Arabidopsis thaliana: one gene and its partners. The protein of the gene in region 2 interacts with the protein of the main gene of each other region in a pairwise test. Each region holds a gene or a part of one and is shown on either strand. Other genes may lie near its edges. The genes, in order: AT1G16000, RABA1b and MAPKKK7.

Region 1 (7,417 bases), 290 kb from region 2:
ATCATTGGCCTGAACCAGCTGAATACACAGACATGATCGGACTCCTCAAAGTTTGTAACTTTCAAATATTTCAACGTTTTTTCTATCTTTCCTTTATCAGACTGCTTAGTTAACTTTTCTTTTAAGTCATGTTTCAGGGAAGGTACTATGACATGGTTCTGTCCACGAAGCTAGCAGGGTTAGGCCACGCAGCGTTCTTGTTCATGACAACGGCTCGAGACAGGGTTAGTTACATTTACCCGAATGTTAACTCTGCAGGAGCTGGTCTGATGCTGTCCGAGACCTTTACAGCAGAAAATACCAACCTTTCAGAATTAGGTTATAGCATGTGAGTTCCTTGAAACCGAAGAAACTGCAGGTTTTTTTATCGCCTGTCTAAATTGACTGTTGATGGTTTCAGGTATACTCAGATGGAAGATTGGTTAGGAAGACCGTTTAGGAGTGTTCCAAGGACTCCTCTGTTGCCACTTAGGGTATCGATTTCACGGAAAGTGAAAGAGGTTGTGGCTGCAAAGTATAGGAATGCTGGAGCAGTGACGGGGAAGTTTATAGTGATTCATGGTATTGAATCAGATTCTAAGGCATCAATGCAATCAAAAGGAGATGCTGATAGTTTACTTTCACTTGAAAAATGGGCTAAGATTATAAAGGGTGTAAGGTAATTATTACACACCTTCAAAATGTGAATTTTTTGCTTAGTTTGAAATTCTCTGAGATATGATTGTGAACAATGCCAGGGGATTCAAGCCGGTCTTTGTGATTCCACATGAGAAAGAAAGAGAAAACGTTGAAGATTTTGTGGGTGATGATACATCTATAGTGTTCATCACAACACCAGGACAGGTATGCATGCTTATCTGTCTGTATTTGTTATGAACAAAGTTGAATTCACTGATCTTACTTTGATTCCTTTTCTTGAGCTTACTTAGTTGGCTGCTCTGATAAACGATTCTGCTGGAGTCATCGCAACAAACACAGCTGCGATTCAACTAGCTAATGCGCGAGACAAACCATGGTGAATACCTGAGTAATATAAAGAGTACTGATTCAATGTTTTCAAGAACTAACATGTGTGTGCTTCTTTTTCTTCCAGTATTGGGTTGTTCTCTTCAGAAGAGAAAGGGAAGCTCTTTGTACCGTATGCAGAAGAGAAGAGTAACTGTGTAATTATTGCTTCGAAGACTGGAAAACTAGCAGATATCGACATTGGAACTGTTAAAAATGCAATGCAGGTCTTTGAAGGATCATTGGCTCTCGTGTAGATAACTTTACAGTTTCTGAAACAAGTTCTATATATAGAGCATTTATGTGTATAAATCAGTTATGTAGTCTCTGTTCTGATGTTGGCCTCTCATCAAGAATTGGATTATTCAGCATCAAAATCAGGTTCCGGAGGCTTTTGCAGATTTATCAAGGTCTTTGAACTCTCTGAGCTCCTAAGTCTGTGCCCTTTCAATGCATTAGCAGCAAATCTTGATGCAAATATCGTTGAACGCAGTCTAGAAGAAGACTCACTTCTTGTGATAACCATAGGCCTCTTGTCACTCTCATCATCATATTCATCTTCATAACCCAATTCTTCTTCTTTTTCTTCAATCCGTCTCAATTCAGCGTTTTTCCTTCTTGAATAGCGACGCCAAGCAGCTTGGATGAAGCAAGAAGCCCAAGTTCTCCATTGCTGAGAGTAAAACCTAAATGTTTGTTGAACCTGTCGACTATGAAGTCTCCTAAACTGACTTGCTACAAACTTCAGCTCTTCAGCTTCAAGAGCGAAAGCCTCTACTTCAGTCAGAGCCTTCACTGTTCTTGTGGAAGAAGGTAAGTTTGAGCCTGCTTTAGGGTCAAGAGCCCATGTCAGAAGCTCTTCACCACAAAAGTCTCCTTCTTTTAACAACCCTCTGTTGAAGAAACCGCTTCTTCCCCCATCTGTTGTTACACTTTCTAACCGGCCTCGGATTATGAACATCATTTCGTTAACGGGGTCTCCTTCACGCACAATGTAAGTGCTTTCCGTGAAAAGACTCGGCTTTAATCTCTCACAGATTGCGTCAAGTAATCTTTCATCCATATTAGCAAACAGAGGAACCTGTAGAAACAGAACACATAGTTAGTTAGTATCTCAAGCAATTTTAGCATTCTGATTGTGAAAACTTACCCTCCTAACTAAATTCAGACAGAGATGGCGTTTGATGTCTCTTCTGAGATCCTTAGGTAAACTCTGAACTATGTTTTCTTCGTCTACACCTCTTGTCTCTAACCATTTGTATTGATCATAGCGTCTGACTCTTTCCCTCAAATTTTGTGGAAGTGACCTGTGATGCATCCACTGTTCTGAGTCACGTCTTTTGATCCTCATTTCCTCGAGACGAACAGTAAGTGACTGAAGATAAGTCTGCATATTCCCGATGAGAAGCGCGAAAAGAAGAAGCCCAGCTATAGCAATCGCAATGGAAAACAAAACCTCTCCTGGAAATGTACTTGTCTGCAGCCCTTGACCTAACGTGCTGTTCATGAAAACACCAAAGATGTCAAGAGTACTCTGCACAAGCTATCGGTTGAACCAATGACAATGAGTTGCCCCCGCCTTACCTGAGATTTTGAAGACCCCACCATAGACAATAACAGAACTTGGAGAAAAATGTTGTTGATGATACAATGCCTGAAGATATAGCCTGACCGTATATCCCATAGTTAAACTTTGAATCATCTGCTTTAGCAGAACAATTGCTCTTAAGAAGCTCAGGGACTGTTTTGATCCATTCAGTTTCTCCACTGCTCACAAATTTAGTCCCACAATACAGAATCTGAACACAGAGTCGCGGATCTGGCTGAACTTTACACGCAAATCTCCAACAAGTATCGTTACGCTCCACTGACAACATGTACCAAAACGCTCCAGTTATCTGTCAAAATGTGTTTGTAAAGTCAGAAAGTGACCAATGATGAATAAATGTCTCAAAACACTAATTAAGAAGAGTCATATATACATAGAAACGCTTACGTGGCTTGCAAGCATATACCAGAGAAGATAATAAGCAGCACCAGCCCAAGCTCCTTCGGCAAAAGCTCCTGCAGTTTTCTTCAACTCTGATGTTAACGGAATAAACCTCACGAATCTCGGAATATACTGCACAATTACAATGTTCAACAATGCCGTTTTCGTTGGTAACACATCCGATCCTTTAGACCCGTGAAGAAACTTCCACACTGCAATCTGTAATATCCACACAAAACATCATAATCAATCCCAAAAGTCCAATATTTTTAGTAACCATCAAAGGATCTTTTCACTCTGTTTTACCTGCGGTAAAGGCAGCACTGCAAGAAAATCGACGACGAAATAACGGGTTAAATAGCGTTCAGCGATCTTTGCAGGATCAATCACAAGCTCACCACGACCAAACACACGAGAAGAAGGAGCTATATAAGCTGTACGAAACTGAAGAGCCATTCTAGTTAAGTAAAAAACGTCAACAATGGTTCTAAGAGTCGTCGTTGTAACAGCTAGTTTCGTATCAATCCCTATACAGCTGCTTCCGGAATTATCGACAATGGGAAGATAGAAGAACAAAGGATCAACAGAGACAGCTAAAATACACGAAATGACGAACAATCTGTTCCATACGAGAAGTGTTTTGTCTTGAGGATCAAAGATTTTCTTCTCTGTTATTCTTAAGTCTTCTGGAAAAACCGCTCTTGTAACGGATTTACCGATGGTTATTAGACCTTCTGATCTGATTTTTTTAACTCCTTCCCTGAAAGATTTGGATGCTTTCTTCTTTTCACCTCCTCGGTTCTTTAGGTTAAATCCGAAACAGTTTCTCTGCATCATCATTCCAGTCGCAGGAGAAGAACTTGAATCTATATCATCTAACCTGTAATTATAAGTTAAATGTCATTCATAGATCTGAAGAAAACAAAGAAAAATATTGCGATCTTTTGATTTTCTTACCTAACGAATTTTTCTCTTTGGCCGCTTATGTATTGGGATTTGTACATTATTCTGAGAAACAATCATAAGCTTCATGCAAAAATTAACCTAACAACATCACAACAGATCTCAATTATATGAAATAAAAACTGGAAAAGAGCTAATTAAGGATCGGCAACAAATACTTAAAGTGATTTGTAATAAATGTGGGAAAGTGTATGAATGATTAAGGAAAATCTAGGGCTTGAAGAAACTTGAGAATGAAGAAATTGAGGGTTCCTACTTAGTACCATAGATGACGGATGAATGATTGAATACTCCTTTAGATTGGACCGTTGTGAAAGTTGGTTACCATAATCATACACTAACTAACTTTTGATGCGGAGCGTATTTACCGCGTATTTTGACGAGGCGCGAAGAGTTATTATAGCTCTCTTCTCTTCTATCTAATTCACTCTCTTTATTGGCTTTCGATGAGTAGCGAATTTACCGCGTATTTTTTGGTGAAACTGTAATGTCAGAAAGTTATCACGCTTCTACACTAATATGTAACAAAATATGGGGTTTAAAATGTTATTCAATAAAAAGGAAATCTTATGTTGATGGGCCATAATAAGGCCCACTTATACATGGTACTAAAACCTCTGATGGATAAACCTTGTGTGCTGTTGATCGGAAAGGAAAAGTAAAAAAGAGAGATCTGAGAAATGGGAAATGAGACGAAGACCAACGGTGGTCCTGCAAGTATGGCCGGAGGCGGAGGATTCAGAGCTAAAATGGAACATTACGTTTACAGTGGTGAAAAGAAGCACGTCTTGGTCGGGATCGGAATCGTCACCATCATCTTCGGAGTTCCTTGGTATTTGATGACTCAAGGTCCGATCTCTCTCTCATCGTTTAATAATTGTATAACCAAATCCCTTCTTGGGGATTGAAAGGGTAATTGGTAGAAGATGAAATTGGAGGATTTTGATTGCAATTAGATTCTGATTTTGGTTTTCTTGCAAAATGAGAAACATGACATAGTGAGTAAATGGTTTCTCAGTATATATGGAAATGGATCACATTGTTTCATTCTAACATTCCCATAGGACCTGAATCTGTATATCTCTTACATCTGCTTTTGGTTACATCCTATAGTGTTGACTCTGTTTGGGCTAATTGGTTGAAGTTCTTTGGTTTCTTTTAGGGTCAAAGCATCAATCTCACCAAGATTACATGGACAAGGCCGATAAAGCTCGAAAAGCACGCCTCTCATCGTCTTCATCAGCTAACAAGTAGTCTGTCTGAAGGATTGAGTCATTTGCACACTGTTATCTCGTACTCATTTTCCCACACAAGTTAAAACTTAGTCAAAATCTGAGTCTTTTTTGTGATTTAGATTCAAAATCATTCTCATTTTCATGCACCATGTTTGGTTATCCGTTTTTTAATAAAAAGATCAAAGATTCTATCACATTTGGATTGACAATGCCTATGATAAAAATTCCCAAGATTCCATTGTGTAAAGGAAACAAATCATTAATATCTGTAAGCAACATAACAATATAAGTTGATGTCTACTTTCTGGGGAGCACATTCATGTCTCTCTTCTTATAGAGGCATGAGTCTTCTGTACTTGAAGAACCAGACGAATGCCGAAAATATCACAAAGCCACATACTCCAGTAATTATGAGTACCCATCTGAATGCACCTGGCTGATTGAAGAAGTCTATCTCAAAGTTCATCCCAAAGATCCCAGCAACGACCCCAAATATGGCTACAACAAACGTTGCAGTCGTCAGAAGCAACTCGAACTGGATCAGCTGATTCCGCACATTATCCTGCAGATATTGAAGAGGTTTTCAGCATGACTCTTGTGCATTCTCAATCTGGATTAATATCAGCTGTGGAAGATGGAATTTTGAGGTATTACCAGTTGAATGTTAATGAAATCTTCAGTGTCATCAATGTACTCCTTTAACTGTAAAGTAAAGAGAGGAACACAGATGATTAAAGCTGTCTAGCGAAGAAAGATCAAAAGTAAAAATGAGAGGAGCCATTAAAGTACCGATGTCAACTTGTTTAGAGTACTATCAATGACGACAAAGTAAGCTTCCAGCAACATCTCTAGCTCTTCTATATTCTCTGCACCTTCAGAACTCCTTGCACTGTCATGCCGACTCCTCGCAATGCTCAAGCTTTTATCAAGTCTTCGGGAATCAGGTGGAGAAGAAACAGGAGACACCGGTGCAGAAACAGATAGACCATCATTTGACCTGTAACCCAATAAGGACTGGTCACCGTACATAGATCCTTCCATTCTCCTCTTCTTCTCTGTTAGATACATTTCTGCCATATCTCCATCATCATCCATTAGCTGCTCGATCTCATCCCGAACCTTCTGAACTCTTCTTGTCAGTGCTACAAGCCTGCTCTTTAGTCTACGCACACGCTCCAAGTTTAGTGTACTGATCTTTGAGGTAAGCTCATCTAATAACGGGTATGCCTCAATCTCCAACTCTGAAGCCTATAGAGAAGGATAAAATTAAATCAACTTAGCGTGTAGTAGTCAAATCCAAGCCCAATATTAGTCTATATTTTCTGAGGGGGAAACAAAATCGAAGCTAAAGTGTTACTAACCTGGGAATCGAGAAACGTACAAGCAGCTTCAAGGGCTATTTCAAGAGCTCTAAACTCGAAAGGTAAATAATCAGGGGATGAATTCTCAAAAGCATTGTCAAAACTCCTGCTCCTCCTCCTACTCAACTGGGAATTTTCCTGCTGCCACATCTCACCTACACTACTAGTCTTTAGTCTCTGCTGCAACTCAACAACATAGCGCAGCACGTAGTTGTCAAGGGAATTCAGAAGCAGAACTTCGTCTGCAGTAATAATACAACGGATCTGCTCTAAGTTGACAACAATAGCCTTCTCTCGGCCTAGGATAGTAGAGGGATACACGAATAAGGGATCAAGCAGCCTTAAATCACGGGCGGGTAAGTCACACCTACGCATCATAGTGAACTTGTCAACCTCCATGACCTGAGTATTACCAGAAGTATCAACACGAATCCAAGAGCGTAGGCCTTGTCCACGCTTCTTCAGACCCAAGACATCAACTCCAAGAAGGGGTGGTCTTCCAGAAGCAGAAGGCCGAGTCACAGAAGCATCTCTGAGGTTCATAGCTGAAGCAGGTCTTGGAGGAAGCAGGCGCTCTTTTAGCTCAGACATTGTTGCAAAAATTCAGATACTGAAATGCCAAATAACTACAAATATCAAAATAAATGATGTAAACAATGATATGATTAATTAGGTAATCAAGAAGATTAAGTAGTTTCACAAACCACCAAAAAACCGGAAGAGAAAAATTGAAAACATAGGCTAAAGAACAAATACCAGTTAGGAAACCAAGGCTGATTTCGTCGTTCTAACTCTATCCACGACGACTGTAACAATAAAACGATGAACTAGAATCAGATTCCGATTAAAAATTCGAAAATTTT
Region 2 (7,690 bases):
AGTATATGAAAAATCTTTTTCGTATAACAACGTGAGAATAAACCCTAGAATATAAAGTATGTATATATTTATACAAATTTCCAAACGCTATGACGTTCTTAAAAATCTAATTAGGCTATTATGAAGGTGCTTTCTTTAGAGTTCAGAGCAATAACGCATTGTCAAAACTATCAATTTGAACGATCTCGTGCTATGCGTTCACATTGCATAACTTTCTGCGTAAATAATTTAGGGATGCGGAAGTCAACAATCTAATTAACGAACCAAATTGATTTGGGACTTTTAAGAGAAGCAATTATCAAAACGACAACACCAAAACTCAAAACGTGAAGATGTTTTGGTAATGGGCCAAAAAGTCAGTGAAGCCCAATTAAAACTCAACAAAATCACAGTCCAGCAAATGACAACGGTCAGCTGCAAATGAAGCCAAAAGCAAAGGATATGCAGAGCCAGTCCTTATCCTCATGTCGTACGGTACGGAGGCGCAAATAAAAAACTGTCGTTTTGACACCCTCTTGATTTTGTGCTGATGTGATATGCTGGACAGCTCAGCTGCGCCCAAGTAGGTTAAACCATTGTAAGCTCAATCTATATAAAGAGCCGAGACATTGTAAGTTGAAAGGGAATAATAATAAAAAAAAGGTAGAAACTTTCTCCATCGTCTCTGGTTCTGAAGGTTTTTCTTTCAGAAATGACGAGTACAAACACGAGAAACAAAGGCAAATGCATAGTAGAAGGACCACCACCGACTCTAAGCCGTTATGAGTCACAAAAAAGCCGCGACTGGAACACGTTTTGCCAGTATCTCATGACCAAGATGCCACCAGTTCACGTATGGGAGTGTGAATCAAACCACATCCTCGATTTCCTCCAAAGTCGTGACCAGTTTGGTAAAACAAAAGTTCATATCCAAGGATGCGTTTTCTTCGGACAGAAAGAGCCACCAGGAGAGTGTAACTGCCCGTTGAAACAGGCGTGGGGAAGCTTAGATGCTTTGATCGGACGGCTGAGAGCAGCTTACGAGGAGAACGGTGGCTTAACGGAGAAAAACCCGTTTGCCCGGGGAGGGATTAGGATTTTTCTGAGGGAAGTGAGAGGTTCACAGGCGAAGGCGAGAGGAGTTTTGTACAAAAAAAAGAAGCGTCTTGTAGTTGTTGGTACGGGAACTAGTACTACTTGGACTTAATTTGCCTAATTAAATCACCTTGGAATCATCATAGTTTAATGATTATTGACTTGTTCTTGTTACCTATCTATTTATATATAAATGATACAGAGATTATAATTTAGTGTGTTTTGACTCATCCAATTTTTATTGACAGAGTTACTATAATCCACTATTTTGTTTTTATCAATATCTAGATCAAGTGTATTATAGAATGAGCCTTAGTTGATGGAATTCTTGTGAGGTATATATACGAATCTTGTTTCATATAACTAGGTGAGTACAAACTGTAGAAAGTATGTAAATATTTACATACCAAACGCTATGACGTTCTTCAAATTTTAGTGAGGCCAAGCAAGGTGAGATGATATATATTTAAGGTATATATGGTTTATACGCAAAAGTAGTGGGGCTAAAATGGAACAAATGCTGCAGAACAAGTAGTGGAGAGTACTAAAATTGCAATCAAATTAGGCATTTCCCCCATTAGAGGGTTAATGGGCCCTATGGAATTGGGTTCATTGGGCTGTTTGAAAAGACGAAGAAGACGAGCAGATCTCACGACCGGTGCCTGAACGATTTCTCCAGATAATTGGTAATCGATCAACCGGAACTCACTCACTTGGATTTGGTAATGGTGATTGTTGTTGATTACATCCACGGTCGGGAATTGCATTAAAATGCTCGAAAATGCTAAACCCGTAAGAGATTTTAAGCAGTGACTTATTGAAACCCTTTGATCAAATTGAGTTCAGAAAGCAGCAATCTTTAAATTAAGCACAAAGCCAGAAACCAATGAGTACGAGTATCAGATTTCTAGGGTTCATTAAAAAAAGATGCAAACTTTAGGTCAACGATACTAAAATCACAAGATCAAAACAAAATTACAAGAAAAGATGAAGAAGAGAGTGATCATCATTTCATAGCTTTCTGAACCGAATCTCTAGGCAATAAACCAACATCTCCTTGTTGATTCTTCTCCTGCTCCTGTTTCAGAAGCGAGTTTCTCTCCATCTCACGCCACTTATTGATCGCGAATGTACATAGAACTGCGAAATATTTTATATTTTATTGGAATGTTGGATTCAATCGAGATCAAAATAGAAAAAAATATGAAGCAGCATAAAGCGAACTTACATCCGGCGCCGACGAAGTAGACCATTCGAAGCATCTTTGGAGCTGGTGGTCCTTCCTCCATCATTTCTTCTTCTAATCGCTCGCTCGCTCGCTCGCTCCTATCTTCTTCTTCTTCTCTAAAGGAACGGCGTCGTTTGCAGTTTAGTGACAAAATGAGACCTAAACCCGACAACATAACGCAACCCGACCCGGTTCTGAAGTTGTGGTTTTGGATTTTGAAGATTACAAAGACAGAGGAAATTAGAATCAAAACTGGAGGACAAGGAGAGCGACGATCCAACTATCGAAGATGAACGTCGGCATTTTAGATCCAGATTCCTCTGCTTAACTGATGCATATTGAGCCTGGTTCACCAACAATTCTTGAAATAAAGTTAAATAAACATTATGTAGTGTATGGTCTAAAACTCATACAAATGTCGATAGTGTTACAAAACAAGGACATAATCAAACAATGGACCATGGGGGTTATAATTCTCTCTCAACAGTGAAAACAAAAAAAGGCTTCAATTTGAGCAGCACCCGAGTTTCTTCAGCGCAGAGACATCGTTTTTAACTTCGATTTTCTCACCTTTCGGGACAGAGGCGTTCCCATCTTCACCAGCTTCCACTTGCTTCTTGCTTGTGATGCGATAAATTTGTGTCAACACCTCTGCAAATGCGTCCTCCACATTGGTAGCTTCAAGGGCAGATGTTTCCATGAAGCAGAGCGATTCTTGTTCCGCATAGGACTTCCCGTCTTCTGTAGGAACAGCTAGCAAGTGGCGGAGATCAGATTTGTTACCAACCAGCATCACTACAATGTTTGGATCTGTGTGGTTCTTGAGCTCCTTTAACCACCGATCTACGTTCTCAAATGTTGCACGGCGAGTTACATCATATACTAGGAGTGCACCCACGGCTCCACGGTAATATGCACTAGTGATGGCACGGTACCTGAGACGAGAAGCAAAAGTGAGTCTTCAAATTGTGGCGAGAATCAGTGGTTGACAGAACAAAAGGTGTCAGAGAAGAAAATTCTTATAAGCTTTTTATGTTTTGCCAAAAGTGATAATTAAATTGGTAGGTCAAAGAAGGAAGTAAAACAATCGTCTCAATGGAGGCAACTCAACTAGCAAACAGAGCAAGTCCTTTGTAGCATTCTAACAATAGTCTATGCAAGTGTTCGTGATTCTAGTGATCATTAACCAGAAAAAATCGCATGCTCTTGTTCATCCATCCAATTCAGATTCCATCAAAGCAATCATGGTCATATTGAGTCAAAACCCAAAGACTTATTTCAGAAGAAGGGCACTTTTTTTAATCTACATTATTAGCTACCTCAAGATTCCATCCGTCAATGGTGGTCAAATGCAGTCAACTTCAGACAAACGAGCAATATTTGAGTACAAAAGTCAACGGAGAGACTCTCTAGTAAAAGGCTGCTGAACACAGAACACATTCACAACCAAAAAACTAAAAACAAGCACATAAGCCAGTGAATGAATCACACATTGAATAGTCACCACTCACCAACCTAGACCTAGAGAAGATAAGATCAGCTTCATGTTAAGCTCCCATTCACTCCAAAACTGTTTGATAGAACATATAGATTGGGCTAAAGAGCTCAATTCCAACACAGTAACATAAATTCAAATTAAGTCAAACAAACGAATCAAAAAGCTAGTGTCCGCTATCAAAGTCACCAAAACGATAGATCTATGGAAACTCGTTTAAAGCCACTGCTAGATCGAGAACCTAAGTATGGAAGCAAAGGAGCTTAGAGTGATCTCCGGGACAGTGGCTTCTATTTGCAATGTACTCGAGACCAATTGACCCAGGAATAAATCGAAAATACGCCACGAAACTCAATGTGAAATACCAAGATCTAGCATGAAGGCCGATTTTACATACAAATAAGAGACGAAGAACGAAATGAAGAGACGAGGAAGACGAAAAACGAACCTCTCCTGACCAGCAGTGTCCCAAATCTGAGCTTTAACGACTTTGCCATCGACTTTTAAGGTACGAGTGGCGAATTCGACGCCAATGGTGGATTTAGACTCTAGATTGAACTCGTTTTTAGTGAATCTGGAAAGGAGATTGGATTTGCCAACTCCAGAATCGCCTATAAGAACAACTTTGAAGAGGTAATCGTAGTCATCTTCCACTCTGTACCCTGCCATCTCCGCCGTCTCCAGGTGGTTGCTTCTTCTCAGCGATTAATCTGAGAAAGAAAGAGAGAGAGAGAGAGAGACGCAGCAGTGTGAAGGTGTAAACTGAGATTTGAAATAACGCTGAGAAGAAATTGGTGTATGTGTTAAAGTGACGGCTTGTGACAAGACAGTCTGTAACTGTAATCGAGATCTGGTCCGTTGATCTATTGGGCGCGTGTGTGACTGTTGTTATATCAAAAGGTTTTTACTTTTTACAGGTTTTCGCTGTATTAGCAGGGTGAAGACTAAAAATTTGATCATTAAATCACCATAAGATCACTAGATTAGTTAGCTCTAATAAAGTGGGAAGTACAACAATATAAACACAAACTTTTTCTTGAAATAGGACGTTTTAACTTTTAGTAATAATGTAATTTCATATCTCAAAAACTTAACTTCTCTTTGGTTATATTATTAATTGACTCACGCCATGACATACATTATTTTTCTAGCTAAAATTTGTAATCAATGTAAATATTAAAGATAGTAAAAAAAAACTACGTGATTAATGTCCTGAGTTGACTATTATTGTCTGCATCTTAGAGATGTCAAAGATGTCAACAAGCAAGCGAGACGATCTATGTTCCCTTTTCCCGGAAAATTGACGGTGCTTTCGTCTTATTCTTCCTCTCTCGCCGTTATCTCTTTGGGAATAAATAATACTTAAGTACTACAGGTAATTTCAGTATCGTTTGATTCTTTCTGGAGTTTATGAGTTGACTTTTTTAGCTAACAGATTCGTGATTCTTCAGTTTGTTATTTACATGATTCAGTCTCAAACTATATAGTTCAGAGTTTAAGGAAACGACATGGATGATGAAACCTCTGTTAAAGAGAAGCAAAGGAACTCCGATAGGATAAGCAATTTACCTGATTCCTTGTTATGTCAGATTCTCTCAGATCTCTCCACAAAAGAATCGGTTTGCACAAGCGTTTTATCAAAACGATGGAGAAATCTCTGGTTACATGTTCCTGTATTGGATTTGGATTCCAATAACTTCCCAGATGATGATGTTTTTGTGAGTTTCGTAAATAGGTTTCTGGGTTCTGAAAATGAGCAACACTTGGAGAGATTCAAGTTGATCTATGAGGTTAATGAGCACGATGCTTCTCGTTTCAAGTCTTGGATCAATGCTGTGATTAAGCGTAGAGTTTGTCATTTTAATGTTCATAATGAGGTGGATGATGATGACGAGTTAGTTAAGATGCCTTTATCTCTCTATTCATGTGAAAGATTGGTGAACTTACAGCTCTACCGCGTAGCCTTGGATCATCCGGAATCTGTTTCGCTGCCTTGTGTCAAGATTATGCATCTTGATATGGTCAAGTACGATGCTGATTCGACTCTGGAGATTCTAATATCAGGTTGTCCAGTTTTGGAAGAGTTAACCATAGTTCGTGATCCCAATGATTCTCTTGAAGTTGTGTGTGTGCGTTCCCAGTCTTTAAAAAGCTTCAAGATAGATTCTGAGCGCTACGAAAGTCAAAATCATGTTGTTACAATCGATGCTCCAAGACTTGAGTATATGAATCTTTGTGATCATCGATCTGACAGCTTCATAATACACAACATTGGCCCCTTTGCAAAGGTAGATATCGATGTTATCTTTAATGTCGAATATAATGATCCATTGGAACCAGATGATTCTTCCAAGATAGCTATGCTAGGTAAATTCCTCACTGGGTTATCTACGGTCAGCGAAATGGTCATATCTTCTGATACTCTACAGGTATATATATGCTCGATTCAATAACATTAAGCTTATACACTTCCTTTATGGCTTTATCACATTTTCTCAGTGAACCCATGTTTGTTTGTTTTTTTGGCTGCATAGGTTATTCATGATTACTGCAAAATGGAACAACTACCTCAATTCTCTAACTTGTCTCGCTTGCATGCTTACTTCGAAGATACTTGGTGGGAAATGTTGCCAACCTTCCTTGAGAGCTTCCCAAATCTACACTCACTCGTCATGGTGAGTTTTCATTTGCTTCTTCTACCCTCATGTAAATCACATTAAGATTTTTGATAACAAAAACTCAAACTTCCCTCGGTTATATATTATCAGGAATTTGATTGCTTTCCAGACACAGAGCAGATTGATCTTTCATATGTGCCACAATGTTTCCTATCATCTCTTGAGTTTGTTCATTTGAAGACTCCATACGTTGTTAACATGCAAAAGGAAGGGAGACCGCTCACAGGAACATCAAGTAAGAGGAAATTAGCAAAGTACTTTCTAGAGAATGGTGCAGCTCTCAAGAAACTGACAGTAAGTGCGAGTTTCTGTAACATCATCGACGAAATCAAAGCGATTCCAAGAAGCTCTACGAGTTGTCAAGTTGTCATGGATTAATTGAGCCACCTTACGAGGCCGTCTCTCATAAATCCAGTTTTGTATCCAATCCGATGATCTACAGATAAATCAAGGCTTGTTTTTTTTGTAACATGTTGGTGGATTAGTCTCTTCTTACAGAAGAGGTTTCTTTACCTACTATATATTAACACTCTCTGTTGGAGTTGTAAAACCAGATGGTATCTATGAATTTCCTTTTTTTTTTTTTTTTTTTTCTTTTCAATGTTGGATAAAATCATAAAAGTAAAGTTACATCTTTTTTGTTACGTAAATCTCGGTCATTATAAGATTCGGATTTACCTAAAACTTAAATTAACCTTAAATAGCCGCATTCACGTATTGACGTGATCAAGACTCAGAAACCCTTTGCAGAGTCGAGTGATCGGATCGTCGTTCCTTGTTCAGTTCTCCTTCGTGATTATTGTTTGATATAACGCAGAAGTTATAGATGACGTTTGAGGAGAAACGTGTTGGTCATAATATAATTAACCAGTTACCAGATTCTTTGCTTTGTGAGATATTTTTCAATCTTCCCACGGAGGAGGTGGTCAAGACTAGCCTTATATGTCGCAGATGGAGATATGTTTGGCAATCTTTGCCTGGGTTGGATTTGGTGATCAATGGCTCCAAAAATTATGATAAGTTCGATTTTCTCGAAAGGTTTATGTTCTTACAAAGAGTTAAGCTAAGGTATGTTGGATATGGTCACAATTGTCGAAACATGACGTCGATGATGATGAACAATGTGATTAAACATAAAATTCAACATTTAGATGTTGGTAGTAATAGAAGGTATGTATATGATAGAGTTGAGATACCTCCAACTATTTATACATC
Region 3 (7,690 bases), on a different chromosome or scaffold from region 2:
TGGTTCCTTTTTCATGTTAAACGCGTATCCTTACTACGGTTACACAACCGCTAATGGGATTTTCCCGCTTGATTACGCTTTGTTCAAGCAGCTTTCTCCGGTGAAGCAGATTGTTGATCCCAACACGCTTTTACATTACAACAGCATGTTTGATGCTATGGTTGATGCTGCTTACTACTCCATGGAAGCTTTGAATTTCTCCAAGATTCCTGTTGTAGTCACGGAAACAGGCTGGCCTTCGTCTGGTGGAAGCGATGAAGCGGCTGCAACAGTCGCTAATGCGGAGACATTCAACACTAACTTGATCAAGAGAGTGCTGAACAACTCAGGTCCTCCTAGTCAACCAGACATACCGATAAACACTTACATCTACGAGCTGTACAATGAAGACAAGCGGTCAGGACCAGTCTCTGAAAGAAACTGGGGGATTTTGTTTCCAAATGGGACCTCGGTTTACCCTCTGAGTTTGAGTGGTGGCTCTAGCTCCGCAGCTCTAAACGGTTCATCGATGTTCTGCGTGGCTAAAGCAGATGCTGATGATGATAAGTTGGTTGACGGTTTGAATTGGGCGTGTGGTCAAGGCCGAGCTAACTGCGCTGCCATTCAACCGGGCCAACCTTGCTACCTCCCTAACGATGTTAAGAGCCATGCTTCTTTTGCTTTCAATGACTATTACCAGAAGATGAAAAGTGCAGGTGGAACTTGTGACTTTGATGGTACGGCTATCACTACGACTAGAGATCCTAGTAAGTTTTTCTCATTTCCTCTGATCTATGTGTTGCAATAATTCTATGTTTTCAAGTTGTTTCCTCAGAGTAAATCTCAAATTCGATGGCTTGTGTGTTTGCAGGCTATAGAACATGTGCATATACGGGAAGGTAACGATACTAAATTTATGTCTTGTTAAGTTTTGAAAATGAAATCTGCTCCTAACTCTTTGAAATCATTTTCCATTTATCTCAGCTTAAACGCAAACGCTACTAATGGAAACTTTCCTCCGGATGCGTTAGGACCCGCAAGTCCATTGGGAGGAAACGCAAACGCACGTATCATCTTTAGCTACCATCTTCCCATATTGGCACCGTTAGCTCTCACTCTACTACAACTGTTGCTTCAGCATGACCGCCTTTTGTAGAACGTTTGCCAAAAAGCGGTTTTGTAGTAACCGGGGAAGTCTACCTGTGGCTTGGATTGGATTTCTTACGGTTACCGGTAGTTACTGTGTACTTTGTTTTTAGTGTAAGTGTAACTAGAGACTAAAGAGGGCTCACAAGTTCCCATTCTTTTTTTTGTCTTCATCTTTGAACTAAAATATTCGAATTAGAGTGATTTAAATTTCATATTCAAATGAATCAGTGCATTGTAGGAGAGTTTACGTAAATCATGTTATTCATAAAAATTGACAGAGTAAATTTGATTATGTTTAAACAAAAATTAAATTGATTTTGGATAATTTCAATTTTCTTTCCAAAATGTGTGCCTTTTTCAAGAACTTTGAATAATCATTTATCAAATTATTAAGGATTCACGTGGTTATAACATGATCACATTACACAAAAGGACAAGAATATTCGATAATTCAACTTAAATAAATTTGGTTGTCAAAATGATTACAAATTTATTGATAGTGATTAGTGAGAGAAAATAAAAATAAAAAATACATGTTACAAAATTAATCTCCACGTCAGCGATTACTTTATTTGTTTAATTGATCGGACAAAAACGCGGCGTTTCGAAATCTTTTCCCGATGGAGTGCGAGCGAAACGATCAAGTGGTGGATTGGATAAGCAGAGAGTATCGGAAGACGACGACGACGGGAGATGATGACACCTGGCGGAAGCGGGAGGTTGAGACCGTTACCGACGGCGATGTACGCCGGATATTCAGGAACGGCGTCGTCTTGGGTAGCGAAGACTTCAGTTTCTGCGTCAGGGAAGAGGATACAGAGGGAGATGGCTGAGCTTAACATTGATCCACCTCCTGATTGCTCAGCTGGTCCAAAAGGAGATAATCTCTACCATTGGATCGCCACCATCATTGGTCCTTCGGGTTTAATTCTGATACTCTCTTTGAATATTTGTAGATAATCCGATTGAAAATTTGTTAGGTTTTCAAGTCTTTGAATTTGGTGTTTATGGAACTTTTGCAGGAACTCCCTATGAAGGAGGGATCTTTTTCCTGGATATAATTTTCCCATCTGATTATCCATTCAAGCCACCTAAGGTATGATCATGGATTCTTTGGTTAACACATTTTGGGAGCTTTACTGATTTAGCTGGTAATGATTTAAGGTTTAGAAGTTTTGATTTCTAATGATGATCTCTTTAGGAAGAACTATTTAGTGAATATCAATGAGTCTTCAACTGCATCACATTGAAACAGAGATCATCTAGTGTCTCAGACTCTCAGTGTCTAGCATATTATGTAGTTTTATTGCTTTCAACATAGTCTTAGGATACATTTTGTAGCAAATTTCTTGAAGTTTTGGGTCTAGTGATAGTCAAGCTATAGGTACTAATCTAGAGCTTGCACTTTTATTACATCTGTCTTTTTGGTTAAGTTGGTGAGGTTGATTTGCAGTTGGTGTTCAAGACTCGGATTTACCATTGCAATGTTGATACTGCGGGAGATTTAAGTGTGAACATTCTAAGAGATAGTTGGAGTCCAGCCCTTACAATCACTAAAGTCTTACAAGCCATCAGATCTATCTTCTTAAAACCTGAACCCTGTAAGTTTCTATTCTACTCTCAGGCTTCAGATCAGACCATTTCAAGTCCTCTGATGAAATGACCAGCTCATGTCAGATCTACCTAAGAGAACGTTTTTAAAAAAAAGTTTGTGATGAGTTTTGGCCAACAAACATAATAGATGTCCGCATCTAACTACTGTATTTAACTTCCATAGTAAATCTCTATTGTTCTTATTCTTTTTGCTTCTTCTTCATCGACCAGATAGTCCAGCTTTACCGGTGATTGCACGGCTCTACTTGACAGATAGAGAAAAGCATGACGAGGTAGCCAAAGAATGGACATTGCGATTTGCCAAGTGAGATCTTCAATACGAGGAAAAGACAACTGATGTATTATAAATACACCTAGTTCTTTGGTTAGTTAATGGTCATCAATGTACATTCATAAAAGTGGAACCACAATGTTAGATGGCCAAGAAAATTGTTTGCTCAGATAATAGGCAACAATGTGAGGTAGGACCAATCCTCAACAACTCCAATTTATTGAAGGTTATACAATTTAGTGTCAAATCTTTTCGTCAAGGACTCGAAAACCAAAGATCATATATGGTCTGAATATAACTGAGGAATTGTTTCTTTTATAAGAAAACAAGAGCATTTTGTTTTGAAACAAGAATAGTAGGCCATAACTTCTAGAGAAAAGCGATTACAGATGAGATAATTAAACTGAAGAGTATTAGTTGGTACCTAACATGTTCCATAATCTTTATTGATTGATTATCTCCAAAAAGAAAGATCAAACTTTCTATTGAAGACACAAGTGAGACTTGAGAGACCAAATCTACCGGTCAATTCTTTTCGTTCTTTTAACCTAACTCTGTTTAACATAATTATCACAAATGGTCAGTACATATCTATCTACGCATGGTATATATAGAGAATATGTAGAACAGCAGTGTTAAAAAAGAGTAACATATTTTGAGTCTCTGCGACTAATATCTTCATATCGGTACGTTGTAATATTTATCCGTTAATTATACGTGTGTTAGATGTGTTAGTGTATATGCAGATGAATATGTCATTTTATGCATCACATGTATATACTCAATTTGTTTATCTTATTTTTTTATTTAATGTTCCCCTTCGTTGGCATCATATATATTTCTCTTGAAGTTTTGAGTAAAACCTCTAGAGATGTTGGAAGATATATCCAGTATATCGACTATATATAGTATCCAATCTTATGATGACTATGTATCTAACACTAAAATTTTGTTAATCAGAGTCTTAGGTTTACGAATTTTTTGGCAATAAATCATTTTCGTCTAAATTTGGTTGAGCCAGAGACTATCGGTTAGTTAATTATTTTTGCTGCTGTGATGTGAACCGAAGGGTCAAAGAGAAGGTTAGGTCGGAGCAGCATAGTCGCATGCGAAGTTCGTTTTAAGTAAAAAGTAAAAACTTATGTAAATTAAACGTCAATTATTCTAACCGCTAATGTTGGTCTATAATTCAATTTTCCTAGGCTTTAACTAAGGGTAGTTTATATGGCGTAAATGTGGGAACGTGTGAAGAGTCAATGTGAAAACGGCATGGTGTTCTTTTTGGTTTTAAGTAACGAATTCTAGAGGGAGAACGCACGGACGAGAGACTGTGATGAAGTAAGCATATATATACATAAAACTGTGTTAAACAATAAATCTGCATGCATAGGTAAAAAACTATATCTTCGACCAACATTGGTCTTACTATAAGATACGTAAATGTGAACTACGCAACAAACTTTGATTTTCGAACTTATAGTATATCCTCATCGATAAAAAGAACCTATAAGTTTCAACTTATATATACAACTCATGAATTGTGTCTGAAATACTTAAAACAAACATTTTTGAGTTTTAATTTAGTATTACATGAAAATAGAGTTTTATAACCTCAACTCGTGTGGTGACGCAAACACATAATAAACCTATAGGCAACATATATGTTTTTTTTTTCAAACAACATATATGTTATTATCGTACTTTAGTATGTAAACTGTCCGGAATATGTTTAATAGCTTATAAAGTTTAGTGTATTTTTGTTTTCAAGGATATGAAGTTTAACGTTAGCACTTAGCTAGCCTGTATTGTTTACATTAAATAAACTTCTTGAAGAAATTAAACTTAGAAACATATCTAGTACCATAATTTAAGATTGTGAACATGCTTATTAGTTATCTGTATTTGACAAAAGCTTACCACGAGTCTTATTTAACGATAGTGATGATTCATTTATTCGCAATAGATATATCCATATATATAAATAGAGGTTTGTGTACTCAGTTACACTCACAATTTATGGTTTTATAATAATCACACAAATCACCACAAAACAACTTAGTACACATATATGCCAACCTTCTAGATCGCATCTGTGACCCCTTCTTGAAGCATGGTAGATATAGAAGACATCAAGATTCGATCAACTATATATCTTCCTGTATCTAGTCATGTCCTAAGCTAGAAGACGACGCTCCAACAATCCCATCCTTACAATCATCCATCTGCAAAGGTTGAGATATTGGGATAATATTACCAAAAGGATCACCAACATCGTTGATGAGCGAATTAAGAAACGATGAGAACTTGTCGTCGTAGCAGAAACCAAAGTCTTCGTAGCCGTGTTCACCACCAAAGACATTGATACTGTTCTTGCTATCTCCATCCCCGCCATTAACAGTGGTATCATCAGTATGAGAACTAGAAATAGGCTCTAGAGGGTACTTTTGTCCACCGGAAACTTCTTCTTCTGGTTTATGGATGTTGTTTGCATCAAGAGGCTTGTGGGTTTGAGGATCAATTCCTTGCCTTAAAAGTTTCTTACGAAGATGAGTGTTCCAATAGTTCTTAATTTCATTATCAGTCCTTCCCGGTATCCTTCCCGCGATCAATGACCACCTGCATCACACATTAGAATTTCCATGAAGAACAAGAGCGGTTAATTACTAATATGGTTACAAAACAAGCTTGCATTTTTATCCTAGTAATCATAAACAATTTGAAAAAAGAATGAATGATCTCTAGAACTATTAATTTGCTCTAGAACCAGAATCAACTTAATTAAAATTATACTCTAAAGAAACTAGAGAAGGGATTAACCTTTTGTTCTATATAAATATCGAATCAAGAATCAAAGTATAATTGTTTTATATAGCTATAAGAAAAAATGGGATCAAGCTAAAATCAGAACCTTCATGTTTATGTGGAAGAAATAAAACCCTAGCTAGCTTAAACAAAAAAATAACTCTAGTGTATGGGTAGAGAGAGACACACACATACGTATGCATATAAACTAAACGATCTTGTATAGTTGAATACTTGACGAGATTTTTTTTTAATATCTATATATATACCTGTTGCCGAGGAGGCGGTGAAGACGGAGGATGAGATCTTCCTCGTCCGACGTAATTCCTCCACGTTTAACCGAGGGTCGGAGATAGTTCATCCACCGTAGACGACAGCTCTTTCCACATCTGAGTAAACCAGCTCTCTTAGGAAGCGATCGCCACCGTCCTTCACCTTCTTTCTTAATGAAGCTCACAAGAATCTCGTCTTCCTCCACCGTCCATGGTCCTCTCTTCATCCCCATCTTCGTGCAACACGGCGTTGTTTTCTTAGACACTGGCTTCTTCCCACCACATGACATCATCTCCGCCGTCTTCAACAAAGCTTTCTCTCTTTCCACTAGGGTTTCGTGATCTCTATGAGTTCTTCGATTGGTTGTTTTTTTCTTTTCTCAAAGTTTCTCTCTCTCCATTAGTCTGCTGATGTTACCAATGAACCTACCGACCTTTTCTCTCACGCGCTAGCTTCGGCGTTTGGTAATAATCTTCATTTGGTTTTTATTTCACCTGCGTGGTTTTTTTTTCCTTTCATTTTAAAGATTTTGCAGTAACAATCATATTGAAATCCAAATGGCTAATGTTATTACAATGCATAGGTTAGTTGCTTCTAGTTATTTATATTAAAGATTTGATACTACTATGAATTATAATTTGATTGGCTATAAACATCCGATTATACCAGCTCCTACAATTGAGAAAGTTATAACAAAATGGTTGATAATACATTAATGAATACTAACCACCTTAATTAAAATTGACACCAGTGAAAAAGCATTAAATATTTGGACCACCTTTTAAATAGATGATTAATCAGTAATTGGACAAAATGCTAGTATTTTTACAAATCGGGAAATAAAGGGGTGAAATCGTAAATAAATAAAAAGTATGGGCCACATAATAAAGAAGAATACAGGCGCATGAGAAATTAACATAATTACCTCTCCTTTATTACAGTTAGTCAATTTCTAACCCAAAACTTTTGTTTTGTTCTTTCCTTTTTCTTAATTTTGATTTTATTAAAATTTGGTCATGTATTTTCACTACTGTAATAGAGCTGGCATCTCTGATCTTTCAACTCCACCAATCTCGAAATCTTTTCTTTCAATTTTCTCAAAAAATTAAAACCCTAATTCTTATTGGATTCTGTTTCCTTGAGGAGCAATTGTGTTCTGTTCGCTGCATTTTTTTTGTTCTGCTGACGGAGGAAGAAGAAACGAGAAGAGATGGCGCGGCAAATGACGTCATCTCAGTTTCACAAATCAAAGACTCTCGACAACAAATATGTGAGCTTTCTTCTTCTCCGTAATTTCTGGGATTTGGGTTTTCTAATGGGTCTCCTTAAGATTTTAGCTTTAGTAATTTTATTGATTTTAAGCTTAAGTCTGGTGCTTTTTGCTGTTTTCTCTTCAATTTTGATTAATTTCAATGGTTGATCCTTGATATGTTGAGGGTAGATGCTGGGAGATGAAATTGGTAAAGGAGCTTATGGTCGAGTTTATAAAGGATTAGACTTGGAGAATGGTGACTTTGTGGCCATTAAACAAGTCTCTTTGGAAAATATTGTTCAAGAGGATCTTAACACCATTATGGTTTGTTATTTTCCTTATATCTATCT

The links.
Region 1: the proteins of RABA1b (region 2) and AT1G16000 interact in a protein complementation assay, tested with the Arabidopsis thaliana proteins (one large-scale study listed by BioGRID).
Region 3: the proteins of RABA1b (region 2) and MAPKKK7 interact in a protein complementation assay, tested with the Arabidopsis thaliana proteins (one large-scale study listed by BioGRID).

Annotation. Positions count from the first base shown.
Region 1 is NC_003070.9:5,489,938-5,497,354, forward strand, and holds AT1G16000 (GAG1At protein), read left to right. Parts: upstream 1-4,595; 5' UTR 4,596-4,638; coding exon 4,639-4,807; intron 4,808-5,120; coding exon 5,121-5,212; 3' UTR 5,213-5,422; downstream 5,423-7,417. Other genes in the region: PnsB1 (NDH-dependent cyclic electron flow 1), read left to right, coding at 1-50, 138-328, 401-658, 738-843, 930-1,015, 1,094-1,262; CNGC7 (cyclic nucleotide gated channel 7), read right to left, coding at 1,367-2,086, 2,156-2,504, 2,590-2,903, 3,002-3,214, 3,302-3,875, 3,953-3,999; MGT2 (magnesium transporter 2), read right to left, coding at 5,525-5,755, 5,848-5,895, 5,983-6,441, 6,555-7,145.
Region 2 is NC_003070.9:5,784,682-5,792,371, forward strand, and holds RABA1b (RAB GTPase homolog A1B), read right to left. Parts: upstream 4,632-7,690; 5' UTR 4,467-4,631; coding exon 4,246-4,466; intron 3,238-4,245; coding exon 2,808-3,237; 3' UTR 2,478-2,807; downstream 1-2,477. Other genes in the region: LSH8 (LIGHT-DEPENDENT SHORT HYPOCOTYLS-like protein (DUF640)), read left to right, coding at 692-1,186; AT1G16916 (uncharacterized protein), read right to left, coding at 2,081-2,214, 2,303-2,477; AT1G16930 (F-box/RNI-like/FBD-like domains-containing protein), read left to right, coding at 5,306-6,226, 6,332-6,472, 6,566-6,853; AT1G16940 (F-box/RNI-like/FBD-like domains-containing protein), read left to right, coding at 7,302-7,690. UniProt on the Arabidopsis thaliana protein: Intracellular vesicle trafficking and protein transport.
Region 3 is NC_003074.8:4,418,929-4,426,618, reverse strand, and holds the start of MAPKKK7 (mitogen-activated protein kinase kinase kinase 7), read left to right. Parts: upstream 1-3,618; 5' UTR 3,619-5,175; coding exon of another isoform or gene 5,176-5,629; 5' UTR 5,630-6,084; coding exon of another isoform or gene 6,085-6,380; 5' UTR 6,381-7,298; coding exon 7,299-7,358; intron 7,359-7,529; coding exon 7,530-7,664; intron 7,665-7,690. Other genes in the region: AT3G13560 (O-Glycosyl hydrolases family 17 protein), read left to right, coding at 1-746, 851-878, 964-1,135; FUS9 (Ubiquitin-conjugating enzyme family protein), read left to right, coding at 1,822-2,050, 2,151-2,224, 2,582-2,729, 2,953-3,050; MYB5 (myb domain protein 5), read right to left, coding at 5,176-5,629, 6,085-6,380. UniProt on the Arabidopsis thaliana protein: Serine/threonine-protein kinase involved in the spatial and temporal control system organizing cortical activities in mitotic and postmitotic cells. Required for the normal functioning of the plasma membrane in developing pollen.